3 linked regions of the Macaca mulatta genome follow. The protein of the gene in region 2 purifies or fractionates together with the protein of the main gene of each other region. This does not show direct contact. Links are inferred from orthologs where the notes say so. Each region holds a gene or a part of one and is shown on either strand. Other genes may lie near its edges.

Evidence for each region.
Region 1: the proteins of ELAVL1 (region 2) and TRIM21 purify together in Homo sapiens (affinity purification with western blotting; 3 studies listed by BioGRID, with this or other methods). This does not show direct contact. The link is inferred for Macaca mulatta from reciprocal best matches to the Homo sapiens genes ELAVL1 and TRIM21.
Region 3: the proteins of ELAVL1 (region 2) and IGF2BP1 purify together in Homo sapiens (co-immunoprecipitation; 3 studies listed by BioGRID and IntAct, with this or other methods). This does not show direct contact. The link is inferred for Macaca mulatta from reciprocal best matches to the Homo sapiens genes ELAVL1 and IGF2BP1.

The regions. Positions count from the first base shown.
Region 1 is NC_133419.1:71,541,703-71,548,330, reverse strand, and holds the end of TRIM21 (E3 ubiquitin-protein ligase TRIM21), read right to left. Parts: intron 6,562-6,628; coding exon 6,331-6,561; intron 5,021-6,330; coding exon 4,998-5,020; intron 4,290-4,997; coding exon 4,189-4,289; intron 3,895-4,188; coding exon 3,326-3,894; 3' UTR 2,954-3,325; downstream 1-2,953. UniProt on the Homo sapiens protein: E3 ubiquitin-protein ligase whose activity is dependent on E2 enzymes, UBE2D1, UBE2D2, UBE2E1 and UBE2E2.
Region 2 is NC_133424.1:8,845,834-8,853,159, forward strand, and holds part of ELAVL1 (ELAV-like protein 1), read right to left. Parts: intron 3,626-7,326; coding exon 3,472-3,625; intron 142-3,471; exon of another isoform or gene 1-141. UniProt on the Homo sapiens protein: RNA-binding protein that binds to the 3'-UTR region of mRNAs and increases their stability.
Region 3 is NC_133421.1:60,957,002-60,964,327, forward strand, and holds part of IGF2BP1 (insulin-like growth factor 2 mRNA-binding protein 1), read right to left. Parts: intron 6,365-7,326; coding exon 6,242-6,364; intron 5,838-6,241; coding exon 5,718-5,837; intron 4,806-5,717; coding exon 4,731-4,805; intron 3,912-4,730; coding exon 3,780-3,911; intron 3,541-3,779; coding exon 3,427-3,540; intron 879-3,426; coding exon 786-878; 3' UTR 1-785. UniProt on the Homo sapiens protein: RNA-binding factor that recruits target transcripts to cytoplasmic protein-RNA complexes (mRNPs). This transcript 'caging' into mRNPs allows mRNA transport and transient storage.

The sequences.
Region 1 (6,628 bases), on a different chromosome or scaffold from region 2:
AAGTGTAGTGTTTAGTGAAGAACATGAGCTTTGGATCAGGATTAGGTTTGAATCTTGGCTTCCTTGATAACAGTGTGTTTGACCTTGGGTAAGTTACTTATTCTCTCAGAGACTCTTCCTGGCACATCCTTAGGGTGCCAGAAAAAGGACTATCAAAACCGAGGTAACCCAATTAAACCATAAGAAAACTTTACTTACTAGGGCATTACAGTTAAAACACTTAGATAGACTCTATCTTAATGTAATCATATACATATATTTGATATCATTTGGACTATATTTTATTTTAAATTAGATATGGGAGGGTGTCATAATCATTGCATTTATTGTCTTGATTGTACCTTTATCATAGGCCTATGATAAAAATAAATAAAATAAAGTATGAACAGGACCTTGAATATACATGAGACAAAATAAGCAGAGGATACATTTTAAATTTTCTTCCTTTTCCACTTTACTGACTTTGTCTTTAAAATTGCAGTATAATATCTATTTTTCCTAATTCAAAAGGAAGTTGTAGAATCAAAAGAGATTAGAAAATTCAACTAGTTTGTTTGAATTTTAAAGGACAATATTAATGAGAATTAGAATTAGTGCTGATAGAGTCTTTCCTCATTTCTCAGGAGAACTTTTATGTGGCAAGCAAGGGTGTACCTGGATTACTTGTTAGTGACTATTGGTGGGCGTAAAAGTTGAGATTCTTTGAAATCTCTACCAGTTGATTTATTTTGGTGGAGATCAAGGGAAGTATATCATCTGTATAATGTATATCTCCAAGTACAAAGGTAATCTGATATCCCAAGGTATTCAGATTTTGAGAATTGAGATTTAGGTTGATGTCATTATGACAGTCTCTTCTCACTGGTATATCAATGAAAGGGAGAAAACCATCATTTATACTGGTCAGCTCTAAGGCAGAAACACAGAGAAGCAGAAAAGCTGATTTTATAATCTACCCTTCTTTTTCTTCATTTTCTCCATGAACCTAGCAAATACAAGCCCACCATTCCCCAGTACCTCCTCATTTGCACACACATTAATTCTCTTCCATGTTCCTGCTCCAGTTTATTACCCAAGGAACTGGTTGACTTTGTCATTTATTTCGATTTAGCTCTGTAATGTTGTCATCTGAGGATTTAGGACCTGGGTCTTTTCTGTTCTTTTTATCTTTTCTTCATAGGATTCTTTTCTGTCCTATGTTAAAAGACAGACCATTACTCATCCTTAGAAGCAACTCTTTGATCAATAAAGTCTTTTCAAAGTCACTGACTTCTTTGTACAGTATCTGAATTTTTCATGAAATATTGAGTAGATATGGTGCTGAGGGCAAACTGAGACTCTATTTTAGTTAAGGAATCAGAGTTCCTGGAATGCTAGGGCTCTTTCACAGTATACTGTGATTCAAGTTTAGAGCTTTATTGTTCCAACCTTAAAAACTTAAAGTATGCTGTCACCAGGTGATGCTGTTACCTCAGTCCTGGCTTTCATATCAATGAGGGTTCAACTGATTGAACCCTACTATAAAGACACATGCACACGTATGTTTATTGTGGCACTATTCACAATAGCAAAGACTTGGAACCAACCCAAATGTCCATCAATGATAGACTGGATTAAGAAAATGTGGCACATATACACCATGGAATACTATGCAGCCATAAAAAAGGATGTGTTCATATCCTTTGCAGGGACATGGATGAAGCTGGAAACCATCATTCTCAGTAGACTATCACAAGGACAGAAAATCAAACACCTGCATGTTCTCACTCATAGGTGGGAATTGAACAATGAAAACACTTGGACACAGGGCAGGGAACATCACACACCAGGGCCTTTTAGGGTGTGGAGGCTGGGGAAGGGATAGCATTAGGAGACATACATAATGTAGATGACAGGTTGATGGTTGCAGCAAACTACCATGGCACGTGTATACCTGTGTAACAAACCTGCACGTTCTGCACATGTACCCTAGAACTTAAAGTATAATAGAATAAAAAAAATGAAGTTAGGCATAAAATAATGGGTACTGTAGTTACACAGGATTCAAAATATCAAAATAAATCGAGTTGTATATGTGAGGATAGTGATTACCTTCGTGGGCTGTGACTTGAAGGGAGCTCATCTGGATCTGCTGGGGTGCTGGGAATGTTCTGGTTCTGTATGGGTTCTATTACAGGATTCCATTCAACTTTTTACAAAAAGAATCATTGATGTGAATGCTATGTGCACTTTTCTGAATGCACATATATGTCAATAAAAAATGTAAAAAACTACACATTCCTGATCATTAAGAACAGGAGCCCCAACCCCCTGGCCGTGGACTGGTACAGGTCCATGGCTTGTTAGGAACCGGGCCACACAACAGGTGAGTAGCAGGTGAGCATTAGTCAGAAAACTTTGCCCAAGAAAGACGCATTCCAGAGAGAAATATCATTAAAATTGGATATTCCAAGGGGCACAGGAGTTGGCCAGTTTTCTAGAAGAATACTGAAAGCATAGGGCAGCCCAGCCTTGACCTTGCAGGGACAGAGAGCTCCAGGAACTTTGATGTTATCACTCGTCACTTACTGAGAACATGGACAGAAGGTGCTTCAGGTCCGTGAGGGTCAGAGATGCAGAGGTCCACAGAGCTACCCCAACCCTAGGAGAACTTTGTATTTCAAAAGCAGGTGTTCCATCATGGTAAGGAGGTAATATCCCCTCAGGCAGCGATCAGAGCCCAGATGGCCTTCTATCACCACAGCGGCTATGATGGGGAAGGCTGTAATGGGGAAGTACAGAAGATTCTTGACCTGGGTCTTCAGTCCAAGATCAAATATTTCAAATGGAGAAGAGGGGACAGCCCAGGCAGGAAAAAAACGTGCAATGTTAAAGACACGTTACTATTAATCATATTCAGAGTTATCAAGTATTTCAGGATTAAGGAACGAGGACTGAATGAGATAGACTGAGACACGGTTTTTTAAATTTTATTTTTTACTTTTAGGAAGTCTTTTTGCAAACCATACAAGATATAATAGAGATCTCATCAAAGATGACACCCTAGAGATGGAGAGGAGAAAACAAAACTTAAGTCCCATAAAGAAGGCAGAAACACGTTTTTGGTTGATCAAGATGAGTTTGGGCCAAATATAAGGAGGGAATCACAAAGCCATCTGGGGCAGGAATGTTGATGATGAAGTGACTTCCCTGCTAAAGCTCGCTTGCTGGGATCCAGATGCCTCTGCAGAGAGAAAGGTGGTTCAGAGTTCATGGGGAAAATAGGCAGGGTTTGTGGCTGAGAAGTGGTGCCAATGGGGAGAATGGCAGTGTCCAGAGAAAGCCATCAATAGTCAGTGGATCCTTGTGATCCAATATTCAGTGGACAGAGGGTTAGAGGGGCTGTGTTTCTTCCTCCGTCATTGAAACCAGGACTGAAGAAGGGCCGCAGAGGTCCTGTAAAGGCACATTCAGAGAAGGAGTAGATGAGGGAGCCATGGTCAGTGATGTTGTAGAAGGAGACCATGCCGGCCTCATAGTCCAGGAAAATCCCAATTTGGCATGGAGGCACCTGAAGGTGGAGGGGGGTCTGGGGGTAGGTGCCAGCCTCATATTTTTGTTTGTTCCACAACCAAATTGTCCAGAAGCCACTCTTGGAACTAAGCAAAAAGTGCCCCTTCCTGCGCACAGAGTCTCTGCAGACACCCAGGTCCCAGGCCTCCTTTCCTGTCACATCTACCTCCCAGTAATGTTTTCCAGAGTGGAAGTGCTGGGCACCCAGGACCATAGGATAACTATCAAATCTCTCTTCATTTCCAGGTATGCTCTGCTGGGTGTCTCCAAGCCTCACTTGTCTCCGATCTTCTGAAAGTATGAGCCATGGATTGGCTGTGTCTGGATCCAGAGTGATGTGGACTGCAGAGAGAGGACCATAGTCATGTCTTGCATGGGGGGAGTCACTAACTCTGTGCCTGTGGTGGGGGGATTTTGGGCAAGCATGAGGGGTCAACCTCCCTGTGTGAGGAAATGACCATCAGCCAGTTCTTGCCTTGGTCCTGACCTTTGAAGAAACCATCTTCCTTACCTCCATCTCTGCTCCCCCTGCTCTGACCTTCCATCTCTCCTCCAAGTTGCCATCCAGGCTCCCTGACCCTGGGATCTACTCTGCACCCCCATTATCCCCCGCAAAATTCCTAGAGCTTGCCTCACCTGCACATGTCCTCAGCATCTTCTTCAGCCCTGGCACATGGCACACACTCCTGAGTTCTGGAGAGGCAATATCCAGGCCCTTCAGGTTCCAGGACTCACTCCTGGGGGAAAGAGAGTTTGAGACTCCTGTCTCTTACTCCTATCCCAAACCCTAACACTATAACCTCCATTGTGGAGGAGGACTCTGATAATTTAATTCAACTCAAATTTACAAACACTTCTGGTGTTCAAGTCTTCAGGGGTGGGTGTGAGAGGCAAACAATGCAGGATTTAGTTTCTACCCAGGAGTTCCTGGTTATAGGCTGCAGCATGTGGACAGTCTGTCTCTCCTCTCTAAGCCTGAGGTCACCTGGCAAATGCATTCAATTTCATTTTATAGGCAATCCATCTGAGACAGGCTGAATCACTTCTGCAAGGAACCTCAAGGAGTCTTGCCCACACTGTGGGTCTGACTCATGGCTCTTTTTGGGAGGTAACTTGTTAGATTCCACTGAGAAAAGGAGTTCCAGCTGGCCATGCTCCAGTAGTCTGAATTCTGGAAAGACCCAGAACTTCCCAGGATTTCCCTGTTTGGCAGGGCTTTACTGTGTGAAGATGTTACGATCCAACTACTGTGGGCAATCACCAACTAAGATGTCCACTTATTAGCTTTCTGAGACCAGAAAATATTTTATAGACAATGAAGTCTTTGAGAATAGGAAGCCAGATGGGGAAAACTTCAGTGCATGTATTTCTAATTCAATAACCTTTGTCATAGGCATATATGCTTTCTGCTGGCCCCTCTTCTAAAAAAGAAAACTCCTCCTTACCTTTCCAGGACAATTATCACCTCCTGAGGAGAAAAGAGACACAGAGTAAGTTCTGGATTGCTGGATTGCCACTGAGACATTAGCCCTGTGGGTGATGTGATCCATCTGTGGTCCCTGGGGAACTGTTCCTTTCCTTCCTCTGGTCCAAAGCCCCAAAGATGATTCTGACCAGCTTGAAGCAGAAAGGATGTGTGGATGCTTGTGAGGTAACCAGAAGCCCAGCATGGATGTGACCTACAGCTGGGGAAGGATTATCAGTTTGAGGACTCTGACTCAAAGACCAGATTTTTTTCCCCCAGGGTAGAAAGAAAGGAGGGCAGAGAGGGCACATAGCCCAGCTTGGCTTAAGCCCAATCACAGGCAGAGAATGGCCAAGTTCAGGTGTCTAGAAACTGCTCTGTTCCATTTGTGGGCTAGCATTGCTTGGGAAGGAAAGGTTGGTTAGTTAAAGTTCCCTTGGGTACTTAATGTTGCCCCTTCCTGTATGTGAAACCAAATCACTGAAAATATTTTTGTTATAGGGATTGGGAGCCATTACATGGGAGCTAGCAGGATCCTAGACTCAGTTAAAAGTATGTTAGAAAGCCTGGTTCATGGCCAGGCATGGTGGCTCACACCTGTAATCCCAGCACTTTGGGAGGCTGAGGTGGGAGTCTGAGGTTGGGAGTTCAAGACCAGCCTGACCAACATGGAGAAACCCCATCTCTACTAGGGATGCAAAATTAGCCAGGTGTGGTGATGTAAGGCTGAGGCAGGAGAATCGCTTGAACCCGGGAGGTGGAGGTTGCAGTGAGGCAAGACCGCGCCATTGTACTCCAGCCCGGGCAACAAGAGTGAAACTCCATCTCAAAATAAATAAATAAATAAATAATAAATAAATAAATAAATAAATAAATAAGAAAGCCTGGTTTGGGCAGAAGAGAGCCTGTCAAGTCAACCCAATACAATTAGGTTTTCTGCACACACCAGAAAGCAATGGCTCATGACCACGCTGAGTCACAGTGAACAGGGGTGAAGAAAGAACTGTAGAATGTTAGAACAGAAGGGACTTGTGAGACGATCTAGTCCATCATTTCGTACAGTGAGGCAAACATATCATTGGTGGATGCAAGATGATTCTAAGTGCAACATACATTGATTTTTAAAAAGGTCCTATACTTATTTTCATCTTTACTTTGTGCCTTGAATGCAAACCATTCGTGGGTTTGAATTCTACTTTATTTAAGAACATTCCAGGGACCAGGTGTCCATTTATTCGAATGGCAGTTCCAGATAGCTCTGGTCTTTTTCAGTTATTCCCGGAATAGTAGAAGGGAACCCCTCCCTGTCTCACCTGCAGCAGTTCCAGTGCTGAGCCCTGGCGCCTTCTCTCTAGCTCTGAGATGAGCTCCTGCAGGGCCTGGCTCTGTTGGGCCAGTTCGGCCTCTTTCTCCCCTAGGATTCTCAGCTGCTCCCTCTCATCCTTCTCCAGCTCCTGCAGCTGCCTCTGTTCTTCTTCAACCAGGAAGTTTTTTTGCTGCACAAACTCTGCGTGAATCCTACATTTCTGTGTCTCCACCGTTTTCTTTAGTGTCAAGGGAAAGAGAGAGGTGGTTTTTATGAAAAGCTCCCAAACTTTGGGAATGGAGGTA
Region 2 (7,326 bases):
TACAGGTGCCCGCCACCAAGCCTGGCTAATTTTTTGTATTCTTAGTAGAGACAGGGTTTCACCATGTTGGCCAGGATGGTCTTGACCTCTCGACCTCGTGATCCACATGCCTCGGCCTCCCAAAGTGCTGGGATTACAGGCGTGAGCCACCGCGCCTGGCCTATTTTTAGTAGAAATGGAGTTTTGCCATGTTGGCCAGGCTGGTCTCGAACTGCTGACCTCAGGAGATCCACCTGCCTCGGCCTCCCAAAGTGCTGGGATTACAGGCGTGAGCCACCGCGCCCAGCCCCCTTGTGTTTTTTAGAATTTAACAGCAGAGTCCAAGAAACAGCATAATCTCCAGATGAACACACTATAACGTTCACAATTAAGATGGATACAGAAGCAAAGGAATAAAAAAAAATTAAGCTGTTTCAGCTCAAGATGGGATTTTTTTCTCTTTTTTTAAAAAAGAGTTGGGGTCTCGCTATGTTGGCCAGGCTGTTCTGAACTTCTGGGCTCAAGCAATCCTCCCACCTCGGCCTCCCAAAGTATTAGGATTACAGGTGTGAGCCACCGCGCCCAGCCATCCTCGTCTATTTAACACTGAAAAGCCCATCGCAGGAAGGCAAACTCCACACAGGCTGGTTTGCCACACACTTCTCTTCCCTGCTGTCCGCCTTGCGCCTCATGAGGTCCCAGGAACAGGCACCCTCTGTCCCCAGCAGAGGGAGCCATAGCCCTGGGATGGGAGCCTCACCTTCCCACCAATTCTGCACCCTGGGGTGGGAAGCAGAGCCAGGGAGACCCTCCTGGCTCCCTTCTCTGCCTCCTTCACCCCTCTACAAAGATGCCAAAGGTTGCTTATGCCACCTTGAGGTTCACAGCTGACCTGGCGGGCGATACTGAGGTGCCCCCAACACCCTGGGAGACACTACCTTGCAGAGGGAAAGGAAGCAATGCCCCCAGCAGCTGTGTGCAGAGGTGAGTTCCCCCTGCCTGTGGCCTGTGTGTGCCTGAGAGACTAGGGAAGGCCCCGGGAGAGTTGGGTGGCTGGAGGCATGCTCTCAGGCACTGGGGGCTCCAAGTGGAGTGTAGGCTCCCATCATCAGGACCGTACTGGACAGAGAGAGGCCGAGGCAAAGCCGTGCATGTGGGGTCTAGAGGAGGAGGAGAGTGGACTGTGGGCCGGCGAGGTCAGCTTCCCCAGCCCCGGGCCCTGCGCAGCCAGTTCAGATGCCATAATGCAAAGTGGGGGGCAAGGAACCCACACACTGGCCCACCGACAGGATCGTTCTTTCAGCTAGCACTTGAAAGTAAGTGAGGGGACTTCAGGAACCACAGGAGATTCTTCTGGTACAAATCAGGGGAGTTTACACCAAGTAACTGGCATCCCCCGACCCTCTCCCCAGAGCGAAGACAGAATAGAGGCGGCCGTGCGAGTGAGCCCCGTCCTTCGGCACTGCTGGGTGCCAGGGCACGAGTCTGTGCTAGGCTACAGGCAGCCCCCAGAGCCCCCGTGAAGTGCACAGGGGCCCTTCCCCTCCTCGGGCCCCAGCGGGACGGAAGGCCGGCAGCAGCAGGGCCGGTGCGTGCCAGGTGGGGTTCCCACAGCCGGCCAGGAGGGAGAGAGACTGATAAGGCCGCCCACCCCAAAGCACGCAGCTCAGGGGATGCAGGACGATGTGCATGCCCCTCCAGCCTGCAGGCCAGGAAGGCCCCACCTGTGTGCACATGAAAGGCAAGGCTCTGGGCTGTTGGGGGAGTGCTGCTGTTCTCCCGAAAAGAGGTCACCTCAGAGCACGACTTCCTGTGGCCCGACTACTCGGTGTTATTTCAACATCACAGCCAAGGTGGGGCACAGTCTGTGTGGGAGGAATATGAAAACCACCCTTAAAACGAACGCACAGGCCTCACTGGGCTTGGGGAGCGGACTCTTCCCTCCTGGTTGGTCAGCACACTCCTGCTCCTGCCCCAAACAGAGCTAAGCGATTCTAAATCCCCTCAGGGTGGCCCGAGCTCCCCATCCCCCAGGCGGGGCCACATGCAGGGCTTGGCAAAGGATGTGGTGGTGCACTGGTTCCCAGCCTAGTGCGGCAGGCGGGCCAGGAAGTGGGGCCGGAGCACAGCCGTGGATGTGCACATGTCCCCTGCTCATCTCTGCCTGATGGCGTCACACAAAGCCCCATGCCCATGTCCAATGGCAAGACAGCATGGAAGGGCCAGCAAAGTGGCCAGGATTGCCTGCCCATTAGAGGAATTCACTGCCATGTGCTCTGTGCATTTTAGATGTGCTCCCCAGAGAAGGGCATCCGAATTCTGGGGATTTGGGCCATCAGACTACTGCACCCCAAATGCCTGCAATGAAATTCACAGTGGACAAATGTGTAGCAGCCTTTTTTTTTTTTTTTTTTTTTTTTAAAAAAAAAAAAGAAACAGCATCTTGCTCTGTTGCCCAGGCTGAAGTGTAGTGGCATGATCACGGCTCACCACAGCTGTATACTCCTGGGTTCAAGCAGTCCTCCCGCCTCAGTCTCCTGAGCAGCTGTGATGACAAGCCCACACCACCACACCTGGCTACAGTATCCTTTATTTTTTTTGAGATGGAATCCTGCTCTGTTGCCCAGGCTGGAGCTCAGTGGTGCAATCTCGGCTGGCCGCAATCTCCGCCTCGTGGGTTCAGGCGATTCTCTTGCCTCAGCCTCCCGAGTAGCTGAGATTACAGGCACCTGCCACTATACCCGGCTAATTTTTGTATTTTTAGTAGAGATGGGACTTCACCATGTTGGCCAGGCTGGTCTCGAACTCCTGATCTCAGGTGATCCATCTGCCTCGGCCTCCCAAAGTGCTGGGATTATAGGCATGAGCCACCACACCCAGCCTGCAGTGTCCTTTTCACCCCGTTCATGGGCAAGGCCAGGAATTTGGGTGCTTGAGGGAAGGTGCTAGAATCTCTTGGTGTCTTCACCATACATGAAACGCTGGCCTAATCCCCGGCCTTTTTTTTTTTTTTTTTGAGACGGAGTCTTGCTGTGTCACTCAGGCTGGAGTGCAGTGGCATGATCTCAGCTCACCGCAACCTCCGCTTCCTGGGTTCATGCTATTCTCCTGCCTCGGCCTCCCGAGTAGCTGGGACTATAGGCGCCCACCACCATGCCCACCTAATTTTTTGTATTTTTAGTAGAGACGGGGTTTCACCATGTTGGTCAGGCTGGTCTCGATCTCCTGACCTCATGATCCACCCGCCTCGGCCTCCCAAAGTGCTGGGATTACAGGCGTGAGCCACCACGCCCAGCCATCTCCAGCTTCTTTTAATGCCATCTTACCTCCTCAGCCTTCTCAAACCAAAGTCAACGTCTTCTCATTTTGGTGTTGTCCTCTTTTGCAGAATAACTAATGACATTTAAAATCAAACAGTGATCTGCCTTCCCTAGAAAACCCAGCCCCCACCTAGAGAACACCCTCCCCACACATCTCGGGCCCCTCTGGTACCTGTGGTCTGATCCACGAGGACTCGTGAGTTGATGATCCGCCCAAACCGAGAGAACATGTCCTCTACGTCCTTCTGGGTCATGGTCCGAGGGAGCCCGCTGATGTACAAGTTGGCATCTTTGATGACCTCTGAGCTCGGGCGAGCATACGACACCTTGAGAACACAACCACTTTCTGAGATTAGGACAGGTACGTGGCCAAAGCACTGAGGAAGGTGCTAAATTTTAGGTTAGGAAAAGCCAACACTGTGTGGTAAGAATTCATGCAAGGAACGATTATCATCACTGACACTCACCACCTGCAGCCGCATGGTGGCAAGCTCACTGCGTGATGGGCCGTGAGCCGGGGTGCCTGGCAGCGCTTCCTCACTGGGTGCTCACCATCCTCAAGGAGGCAAGTGTGACTCCTATGTCACAAAGCCCAGCAACTGAGGGCCTGACGCTTGTGGGTGGCTACCTCTCTGATGTGCTGGACAATGAGCCAGTGCCAGAGATAGGTCCTGGTGCCCGAAAGAAGTCCGTGCTGCAGCGGGCAAGCAAGCTGGGAGCTACTGGGAGCGCACGAGACTCCACGAGACGCCCCTGCCAAAGAGCAAGCTTGCCACGGAAGCCCTGATGGAGGAACCCGAGTTTGTACTCAAATCCACTCAAGGATTCAATATTAAATGACTCAACACCTTTTGGATTTTTATTTTGCAAAATCAAAGAAAACTGAAGAGAACCTTCTGGATACTTTGTCAAAATGGTACATTCATCATTCGTGTGGAGAGGGCAGTGAGGGGAGCCCGCAGGCCGATGCAAGACAAGGCCTTCAGTGCTTTCTCAGGTTGGCGCTGACAGCCGTGCAGACCCCACGGGCCCAGAAGGAGAAAAAGGACCATGGCGGGGCCGGGCACGGTGGCTCACGCTGTAATCCCAGCACTTTGGGAGGCCGAGGCGGGCGGATCACAAGGTCAGGAGACCGAGACCACGGTGAAACCCCATCTCTACTAAAAATACAAAAAAAATTTAGCCGGGCGCAGTGGCGGGCGCCTGTAGTCCCAGCTACTTGGGGAGGCTGAGGCAGGAGAGTGGTGTGAACCTGGGAGGCGGAGCTTGCAGTGAGTCGAGATTGCGCCACTGCACTCCAGCCAGCGGGACAGAGTGAGACTCCGTCTCAAAAATAAAAAAAAAGGACCACGGCAGAACCCCTCTGCCTGTGAAGGGGCAGCCTGGCAGGACTCACAGCCTCATCAGCAGGCTGGGATATGGAGGAGTGAGCAGGAGAGGAGGGAGCAGGAGCAGAGGGAGCAGGAGAAGAGGGAGCAGGAACAGAGGGAGCAGGAGCTGTGTGCCCGGGAAGGGTGGGGACTTGAACCTGTGCAAAAGGAGTTCGTTCCCTTTGAGGGAGGGGCACAGAACTGATGAGCCAAGGTAACTGAGACCAGAACGCAGGGAGAAACCGCCACTCAGGAGTCACTGGGCAGAATCTGTGTGCCGAGAACACACAGCATCCTCTGAGAAGCTCCTATCATGTCCCAGAGAAGGAACGACAGACATTGCCCCTGCTCACAGGGCAGCGGGCAGCCCAGCAGGGGAACAGGAGAGCCCCATGAGGAGAGGAGTGTGGGGCTGGAGGCCAGCTCCACCCGGTAGCGGTGGGAATCGAGGGAGCATGTCACTACGGGGCCCAAGAGGTCTCTGGGGAAGCCGTGCTGCTCCCAGGCCCGGGGCACCTCCATCAGCCTGTGGGCAGGAGCTCTGCGGACACTTGGCCACCCCACAATGTGGGTCAGGGGCTGCCAGTGCTGTCCCCAGAGAAAAAGAGGCTGCCTGGGCCCCCAGCCTCCCCTACAGTGTCCGGGCCTGCCCTGGCTTGCTGCAGACCCGTCTGGACTGGGGCAGTATTTGGGGACCTGCCAAACCGTGACCCTGGTGCCGGTGGAGCAGAGCTGAGGCTGTCACTGACTGGACCTACTGCCGTCCCTGGATGAAGCCCCAGAGGAGAAGCGCCCTAGAGCCAAGTGCTGGGGAAAGCTCTGATGCCTCCCAAGGACAGGTGTCTCCAAGGACCATGGGAACTCCGCTTTCCTCTTCTCTCTGGACATGGTCACATTCAGTCAGGCTAGAATCAGAGCAGCTGGTGCAGAGCAGGTGTGCACTGACCTGGGGATCCCCGGCCCCTCGGCCAGAATCCTCTTTCCTAAGCTCCCAACATCGCTTGCTCTTTGGCCTCAATCGGGTCTTTTTCTGGCTGCCAATGCTCAATAATTCATCCAGTGAGCGGTTCAATCGTGTTCCCCCCACCCCACAATCCAAATTCATAGCCGAAGTCCTAACCCCTTGGGACCTCAGAACGTGACCTGATTTGGATATAGTCATTGGGGGTGTAATCAGTTAAGATGAGGTCACACTGGTATAGGGTGATCTCTAATCAAATGTGACTGATATCCTTATAAAAATAAGGGAAATTTAGGCCAGGCGTGGTGGCACAGGCCAGTAATCCCACTGTTTTGGGAGGCTGAGGTGGGAGGATCGCTTGAACACAGAAGTTCAAGACCAACCCAGGCAACATGGCAAGAACCCATCTCTACAAAAAACAAAATTAGCTGGTCATGGTGGCACACACCTCTAGTCCCAGCTACGCAGGAGGCTAAGGTGGGAGGATCGCCTTAGTGCAGGAGTTTGAGGCTGCAGTGAGCCGTGATCACACCACTGCAGTCCAGCCTGGGTGACTGAGTGAGGCCCTTAAAAAAAAAAAAAAAAAAAAAAAAAAAAGCTTTTTTTTTTTTTGAAAAAATAAATTCAATTTAGAAAGGCAGGAAATGTGGATACAGGCACTCACACAGGGAGAAGGCTGTGTGAAGACAGACGCAGAGACTGGGGTGATGCTTCTCTAAGCCAAGGAATGCCAGAGACCGCCAGCTTCCACCAGAAGCTGTGAGAGAGGCCTCTTGGACAGATCCCTACCCAGTGCCTTCGAGAGAAACCAACCCTGCTGACACCGTGGTCTTGGGCTTCCAGTCTCCAGAACCCTGAGTCAATACTCTTCTTCTGTTGAAGCAACCTGGCCTGTGGGGCTTTGTCATGGCAGCTGAGCAAACTCCTGACCACTCAGCTTGCCACAGATCCCTCCACTGGCATCAATGCCCAGTTCCTCCTCTCCCTATTTACTTCTTGACTGCATTGATCATGACCTGACACGCTACATATTTTATTTACTTTTTTAGCTTTTTTTGTAGAGACAGGGTCTCGCTATGTTGCTCAGGTTAGACTTGAACTCCTGGGCTCAAGTGATCCTCCTGCCCCAGCCTCCCAAATGGCTTGGATTACAGGCATGTGCCACCCTGCCTGGCATCTACTTTATTTATTTAACTTTTAACTTTGCAAACAGACTCTGTGAGGGCCAGACTTGTGTGTTTCCTGCCACATCCAAAGCACTCAGAGCAGCCTCTGGTGAACGGTAAGCACCTGGGGACTGCTGCTGTGTGAATGGAGTGCGCAGCTGCCGCTGCTGTGAAGAATGTCTGCCTATCTGCACTGCAGTCCCCAGCGCTGGCTTCTGTGGGTGACAGGAGTTTTGCTGTTCTGGTTCCTGAGGCTTGGTTCTCACAATGTGCTAGGGAAGCCTCCAGGTGACGTTAAGTGCCTGTAGCCACACAGAGCACCTGGTTTCACACCCTGGCTTTGCCCCCCCATCCCTCCGTGACCTTGGCAGAGCTGTTTCACAACTGGAAACATCAGCTTCTTCAACCCAAATCTGGGGACCATTTTCTATGGGGCTGTGGAGAGGGCACGTGAGACACGGGATGGAAGGTCTGGCCTCCCGTCAGCCTTTGGTAAACACCGGCTGTGTGTGGCATACGGGACCCGGCAG
Region 3 (7,326 bases), on a different chromosome or scaffold from region 2:
GAGGGACGTGAATGTGGTGGGGAAGCCCCAACACAGTGGGGAAATTTCGGTTGTGCCAATTTGAAGATGGTGATCTGGAACAGATCAGCCACAAGGGCACTTCTTTTAAACGTGGATTATTATGTGTTTTAACCATCTTTCTCCCCATTTTCCCCTCTTCTTCATTCCCTATTGTACCTATTGGTTAGGGAGTGATTGGAATTAATCTACAGATACTGACAGTTCTTTTCCCTTGAGTCAATATTGTAAGCAAAGCAATGCATTCGTTCGCATTTTTTTCTGGTAGCAATAAAGATAAAACAATTAGTGTAAATATAGAAAGAGGCAGCAAATGGAGGTATTTTAATCAATTACCCAAGTAGGGGGAAGAAAATTGGAAAAATGTTAAGGTCAAGAAATGAACCATCCTTTAAGGCTGATTAAAACACCCCTCTGCATGTTTTTAAAACCTGAAGGAAATTTTATTTTTCTTCCCACTGAGGTGTAATCCACCCTCTTGGTGGGGCCTGGAGAGCTTCTATAAACAATCCACGTTTAAAAGTGCCTTGCGCTAGAATTTCTGACACCCCGAGGGGCAGAGAATGTTGGGCCAATTGGGTGGGTGTCTGGGGCTAAGAGATCAGGGTTCCTCACTGGAACATCTTTCTCAATCAAGTGGGCAAACCTGATCTACAGCCCGGCCCAGGTGTCCCAGATTCCCACTCATTCTCAGGCCTGCCGGGGAGAGCACACTCTCGATTTCTGCCCGTTGTTGTCCTGGACTCGAAGGGACAGGGAGGGGCTGGTCACTTCCTCCGTGCCTGGGCCTGGTTACTCTGTCCCTTCTGATGCTGCTGCTTAACCTGGGCCAGGATGTCTCGGATCTTCCGCTGAGCCATCTGCAGCAAGAACAGGCAAGAGGGTGGGTGTGAGGACCTCCAAGGAGACAGCCTTCCACGGAAGAGAGGTCGTCAGGTCCAGACCCAGGCAATAAACATAATAGGTCACACGGGACTCAGAGGAAAGATAAAGAGGAAGAATGAGGGGTGGGGTGACCTTACATTTCTTTGCCTCCAGTGGAGCCTGAGCATCCCCTGGAAAATACAGCAAACGTGGTGGGTTTAAGTGGGAGATGGGGTTGGGGGACATGAAGGAAGGAGAAACAGTAGTATCAATCCATTCATCAGAATTTAAAATTTGACAAAGTTGATACACATTACCAAACCCAAAACAGAATGCCTAGAGTTTCTAGGCAGAAATATATTACGCATTGTACAGCAGTGGTCCCCAACTCCCAACTGTTCTGGCACCAGGAACTGGTTTCATGGAAGACAATTTTTCTTCCACAGATGGAGGTGGGGGTGGGGAAGTGGTTTCAGGATGAAGCCTCAAATCAGCATGCATTAGATTCTCATAAGGAGTGTGCAACCTAGATCCTTCGCATGTACTACACATCCCTGGAGCACTTCACAACAGGGTTCACCCTCCTATGAGAATCTAATGCCGCCCTGATCTGACAGGAAGCAGGGCTCAGGAGGTAATGCCCGCTCGTCCGCTGCTCACCTCCTGCTGTGCAGCCCAGTACCAGTCCGTGGCCCGGAGTTTGCGGACCCCTGTTATAGAGGGTCATAACTTAGGAGACATCATCAGAAATCCATGCTTCATTTTAATACCCCAGGAAAAGGAATAAAATGTCCAGATATGGCCAGGAGCGGTGGCTCACGCCTGTAATCCTAGCACTTTGGGAGGCTGAGGTGGGTGAATCACCTGAGGTCAGGAGTTCGAGAGCAGCCTGGCCAACATGGTGAAACCCCATCTTTACTAAAAATACAAAAATTAGCCAAGCGTGGTGATGCACACCTATAATCCCAGCTCTTTGGGAGGCTGAGGCAGTGAGATCACTTGAGCCCAAGTGTTTGAGACTAGCCTGGGCCACACGGTGAAACCTCATTACTACAAAAAAAATACAAAAATTAGCTGAGTGTTGTGGTATCTGCTTGTAGTCCCCGCTACTTGGGGGGCCTGAGGTGGGAGGATCACTTGAGCCTGGGAGGTAGAGGCTGCAGTGAGCTATGGTCACACCACTGCCCTCCAGCCTGGGTGGCAGAGCGAGACCCTATCGCCAAAAAAAAAAAAAAAAAAAAGAAAGAAAGAAAGAAAAGAGGAAGTTGATCTAGGTTGGGAAAATAATGTGGAGTCAATAAGAGGTCCAACTCCATCAACCATGGCTTGATGTTTTACATAGCTTTTCATTTAATTCTCCTTCTGATCAGCTAAAATTGCTTCCGTGTTTAATATTAATATATCCTGGCTTTGTGCATCTTTGGATATTTACTCTCTTAAAAAAAAAACAGCTGAATTAAAGATTCACATTTACCCTCTTAAGCTTCATTTATAAAATGAAATTGTTGTGAGAATTAAATGAGTTAATATATATAAACCACAAAAAACAGTGCTGGGTATATCCAAAGGCACCCATAAATCTTAGATATTATTATTATTTTATGGCTCTTATTAATACTTCCTTTTTTATTTGTTATTTTATATATATATTGTTGAGATGTAACGAAAGCCTCTTATAAATACTTCTCAAAGGGTTACCAGAGAAAGTAACTTATCCAAGGTCACATAGCAGAAAGGCTATATATGTGAAGTTTGAGGTCAAAGCTCCCTGGCTCCAAAACCTCCATACTTGATGCTGTACTATATGGCACTGGAAGCCAAAAAACCAAGAGCCAGTTTGCCCCAATTGCTCTAGCAGCCCCAGCAGACCACAAGCCTGCTAAGATCTGGATATCCTCTATGAATTGTAGGAACTGTGATCAACAGTCTCCAAAGTTCCTTTCCAGTTCTAACACTGATGGATTTAAGACTTTAGGAAAACACCATTAGCTGTCAACCACCTGTTTGCTTGCCTTGCTGAGGTTCAGCAAAATTTGAACCTGATATTGGCCTTCCCTTCCAGGCCCTGAGGCCTGTCCAAGTGCTGAATAGCGATGATGAGTTCTGGGAAAGGAATGGGAGGATGAAGAGCAGAAAACAGAGAGAGAACAGCCATTCTGAGAGAGGCAGAGGGACTACATTTCAAAAAGTAATCAATCCAGGGTATTAGTACTGTTATCATTATTCCATGAACAAAACCAATCTTCTTTCATAACCAGTGCAGAAAGGGTTTAGGGAAGGACTAATGTAGAACATATATATCTATGAAACATATATACATTAAACTTGTCAAATCACTTTCCCTAGAGAATAATAAGAGGGAATATGTCATCTACACATCCCACTTCTGCACCTCAAAGAGGGCAATAACCTAGCCCAGAGGCAGGCAGATGTGGCTGAGGCCCCAGGACTTGTCAAGGTCATGCAGGTCAACCTCTGGAGTCTCTGCTTCTCTGCTCCCTGGGCTCCTGCAGCCCTCCCGCAATGGGGGAGCACCATATGTACCTGACTGGCATAGAAATGTCCGATGATTTTCACGATGACCTGGTCGTTCTCATCAGGGGTCTGGTCTCTTGGTACTACCACCTCAGCTGCCGTCAAATTCTGCAACTCGTTCACCTGGGGGTGGCCAGAGAGGAGCTCAGGGTGCCATCAAGAAAGCATGGGTGGGGTTGGAGGAAGGAACCAGGGTTAACTAGTAGGGAGAAACTGGAAGAGTCAGGACGTGAGCTTGGGGAGTAGAATCAAGTAAATGAGCAAATCAGGAGTCCTGAGATTGAGCAGCACAGGAGGCCAGAGAGAGCTGTTGAGATTGGAGACCATGGCCCAGGGCTTTCAACCTGGCCCTCACAGCTCACCGTTTTGCCACCTTTGCCAATGACCCGGCCAGCTGCTGATGCTGGCACACGTATGTGGGTCTCCAGCTTCACTTCCTCCTTGGGACCAAAGAAGTTCTCCTCCTTGAGTTTGCCGTAGATTCTTCCCTGAGCCTGAAAAGAGCAGGTAATTGTTAATCAGTGGTTCATATATCTATGACAAAAGGGAAAAGTGGGAAAAAGGAAGCTCCAGCCCATATTTTCTGGCCCACAGGCCCTCCCCATCCTGGGTGGGCTAACCATCTAAGGCAGGTGAAGGGCAAGGCTCAGGTGGGCAGCTTGTCAGCACTCCTTCTGCTTAGCTATCATACTGGAGACCCTGGGTGGAGATTATGAGTTATAAGTAACTGAATAAACACTTCCCAAGGGAAAAAACAGTTCCCAGAGGAATGGAATTCACAAGCTACAAACCAGACCTATGGAGTCTGGACACGGCACTGATCAGCATTTCAAGGCCCTGAATGGCAACTAATCAAGTCACACAGAGAGCAGGCCTGTCTGACTCTCCAGTGGCCCAGAGAGCTGTCCCACTCCTCTATCATCACATATGTTAGGTTAAGCTAATTGATGGTTTATTTTTTGGCTGTCTGATCAGAAGTCCAAGAACCTTAGGATTTAGTGGGGACATAAAAGAATTTGGCATTAAAGGCCTTCCTTAGAAATGAAGGCAGAGTGCAAATAAGATGCCCTCGGACTTCTTTCCTTCCCATCTTCTTCTATGGACCTTAAAAAGGGAAGACGAAGACAACAGAAATCCAGTTTGATGTCAATTTGAAAATAGCTCTGCAGCCCTTTATCCTGCATGGAAGGCTTAAAGATGTGATGAGGACTTGATGGCTAACGGGAAACTGCCCCAGCCTTTTTCCTACCTCAGGGGAAATACTCAACCTCAATTCCTCCATGTTCAGCTTGCAAAACAATAAAGACCAAAACCTTGAATTGGGCCTCTGGCGGTCCAGTGATGATAACCATACGGACTTTGGAGTCAGGTGTTTCAGGTGGTGCAATCTAAAAACAAAAAGCTTGTCAATGAAGGACCCTCTATGGGAAAACCCCCACCATGTCCACAGTTGCCCTTCTACCACCCTTACTCCCAACTACCCATTCTGAAGACTTAGGGAAGGAAGAACAAAGACTCTGAAGCCCACATCATTACGCCTGCACACCAGAATTATTAGAAGGGCAGAGGTGGTCAGTTAGAAGGACTGGCTTCAATGACACTTTCTAACTAGGGCCTCCTGCTCTCTCCACTTACCAATCTCCCAATCTCCCAGAGAGGTTTCAGTGGAGTCCTGCCAACAGGCAAGGACACAAATGAAATGACCAACGGATAGAGGTCAGTGACTGCACCTCCAGTGGAGAACAATCAAGGTTTCTGCTCAAAGCTTTTAAGATAACTAAAGCAACTGGATTTAAGTTTGTGAAAATTTAACAGCACCCTTGTTTCACTATGACAGATTCTCCCTTCTCTCTCCCCTGGACCTTGACCAGGGAAGGCGACAGACAACTAACACTTAACTTGGTGTTAGTATGTAAGCGAAGGGCTTTCTTTGGCTACATAGCTTCATAATATTGTACTGATGAGGAAAGTGAGGCTCGGATCATATAGTGTATTGGGAGAAGGGGGTGATGAGGTGGATCTGGGATTTGAACCCAAGTCAATTGGTGTTAGAACCTAAGTTCTCTTTCTATGTTATAACCCTGCCCCTGCCCAGCCTGAAAACCCAGAAGCACTGAAGCCATCCCATGGGAACCAAGCAAGGTCAAAAACAAAGAGAACTTTGATTCCATGGGGGAAAGGTCCCTCACATGACACACAGAATTCTCAAATGAGTAGGGGGAATGTGGGAGAAAGTGCAGAGTGATAAAAGCAGAGCCCCTTCCCTTTCCAGAAACAGGAAGACCCACAGAGCAGATCACCTTGATGGAGGCGCTGGCAAACCGGGAGAGCTGTTTGATGTGCTGCCCCTTCTTGCCGATGATGGCGCCCACTGCCTGGGCGGGAATAAACACCTGCACCATCTCCTGCTCGGGAGCCTGCTGCCAGGAGAGGGGGCGTTACTACCAGGGGGCCCAAGTAGCATGGCCCAGAAACCCTCCACTCCCCTGCCTTGCACCCTCAAAAGGAAGGAGTAGACACCAAACTGCCACCCTGGGCTGCCAAGGGATGCTGTGAGCTCTTTAGTTCTTCCAATGCCCAGCAGGGCTAAAGGGAAGAGGCCAGGAAAGAGTGAGGTTACAGTGCTGCCTATGCCCCGGGAACTTTCTAGGCAGACATTTGGGAGCCTCAGAGCCAGTGGCTAGGAGCACTGGAGAGGAGGGATGCCCATGAGACCTTCCTTCCCTCTCCCTGCAAACTTGCCAACTCCCATAGGGTGTTGGGTCCCCCTAAGGCAGGCCACATATGGGCCCAGGGGTCCCGTGTAGTAAGACCTTCCACCTACCATAAAGGAGCTATAGGGAGCAGCCCCAGTAACGCTGCTGGGAGGTGGCGGGACTGCGCTGGACGAGGCGGGGAAAAGACCTACAGCAGCCAGGTTCAGGCCAGGGATCAGGTGAGACTGCAGCTGGGGAAGAAAGGTGAGGACGAGGAGTCAGCACACCCTGACAGGCCCTGGCTGTACAAAACGCGAGTAGCCCCAGGGGGAAGTGGGCCAAAAACATGAATTACATGCTTTTGCACAAAAGCCTATTCTGTGCTTTTCATACACTCTCACCTACACACTTCGGGCGTGGAATTTTAAGTGATATGATGTTCTCACTGGACTAACGGCTAGCAACTGCAACCAGAAATGCCAAACAGTTATACACCCTCAGGAGTTCTTCCTCTCTGGCTGTTCAGGCTGCTGGAGACAGACGATAGACTCATGACACTGTACTATAATCCCCCTACATGAGAAAAAGGCGTGGAGACAGCTCCACCTAACTTCTAGGACTGTGGTTCTAAACATTTTTGGTCCTGTACACCAACCCCAAGTCTCCTTTAAAAATCAGATGAGTTGCATGCAGTGGCTCATGCTTATAATCCTAGTACTTTGGGAGGCCAAGGCAGGAGAATCGCTTGAGCCCAGGAGTTCGAGACCAACCTGGGTGACACAGCAAGACCCTGTTCCAAAAAATACAATTTTTAAAAATTAGCTGGGCATGGTGGTGCACACCTGTAGTCTCCTAGGTACTTGGGAGGCTGAAGCAGGAGTATCCCTTCAGCCCAGGGGGTCATGGCTGCAGTAAGCTATGATTGTGCCATTGCGCTCCAACCTGGGCAACAGACCAAGACCCTATCTCAAAAAAATTAAAAAAAAAAAAAAAAATCAGATGACAATGATGGATCCCCGCATTTCACTAAAGTGCACACAAACACAAATTGTACACATACTTGGAATCACAGGACTCAAAGCCCAAGATTGGACCCCTACTCTAGGAACCAGGTGAAGAATCCTTGCTAATTAAATACTATTTAAATACTATTTCTGACAGTCGAGATCCAAAACCATCAACTAAAGCTCCAAAGCCACACGGCACAGGGCAC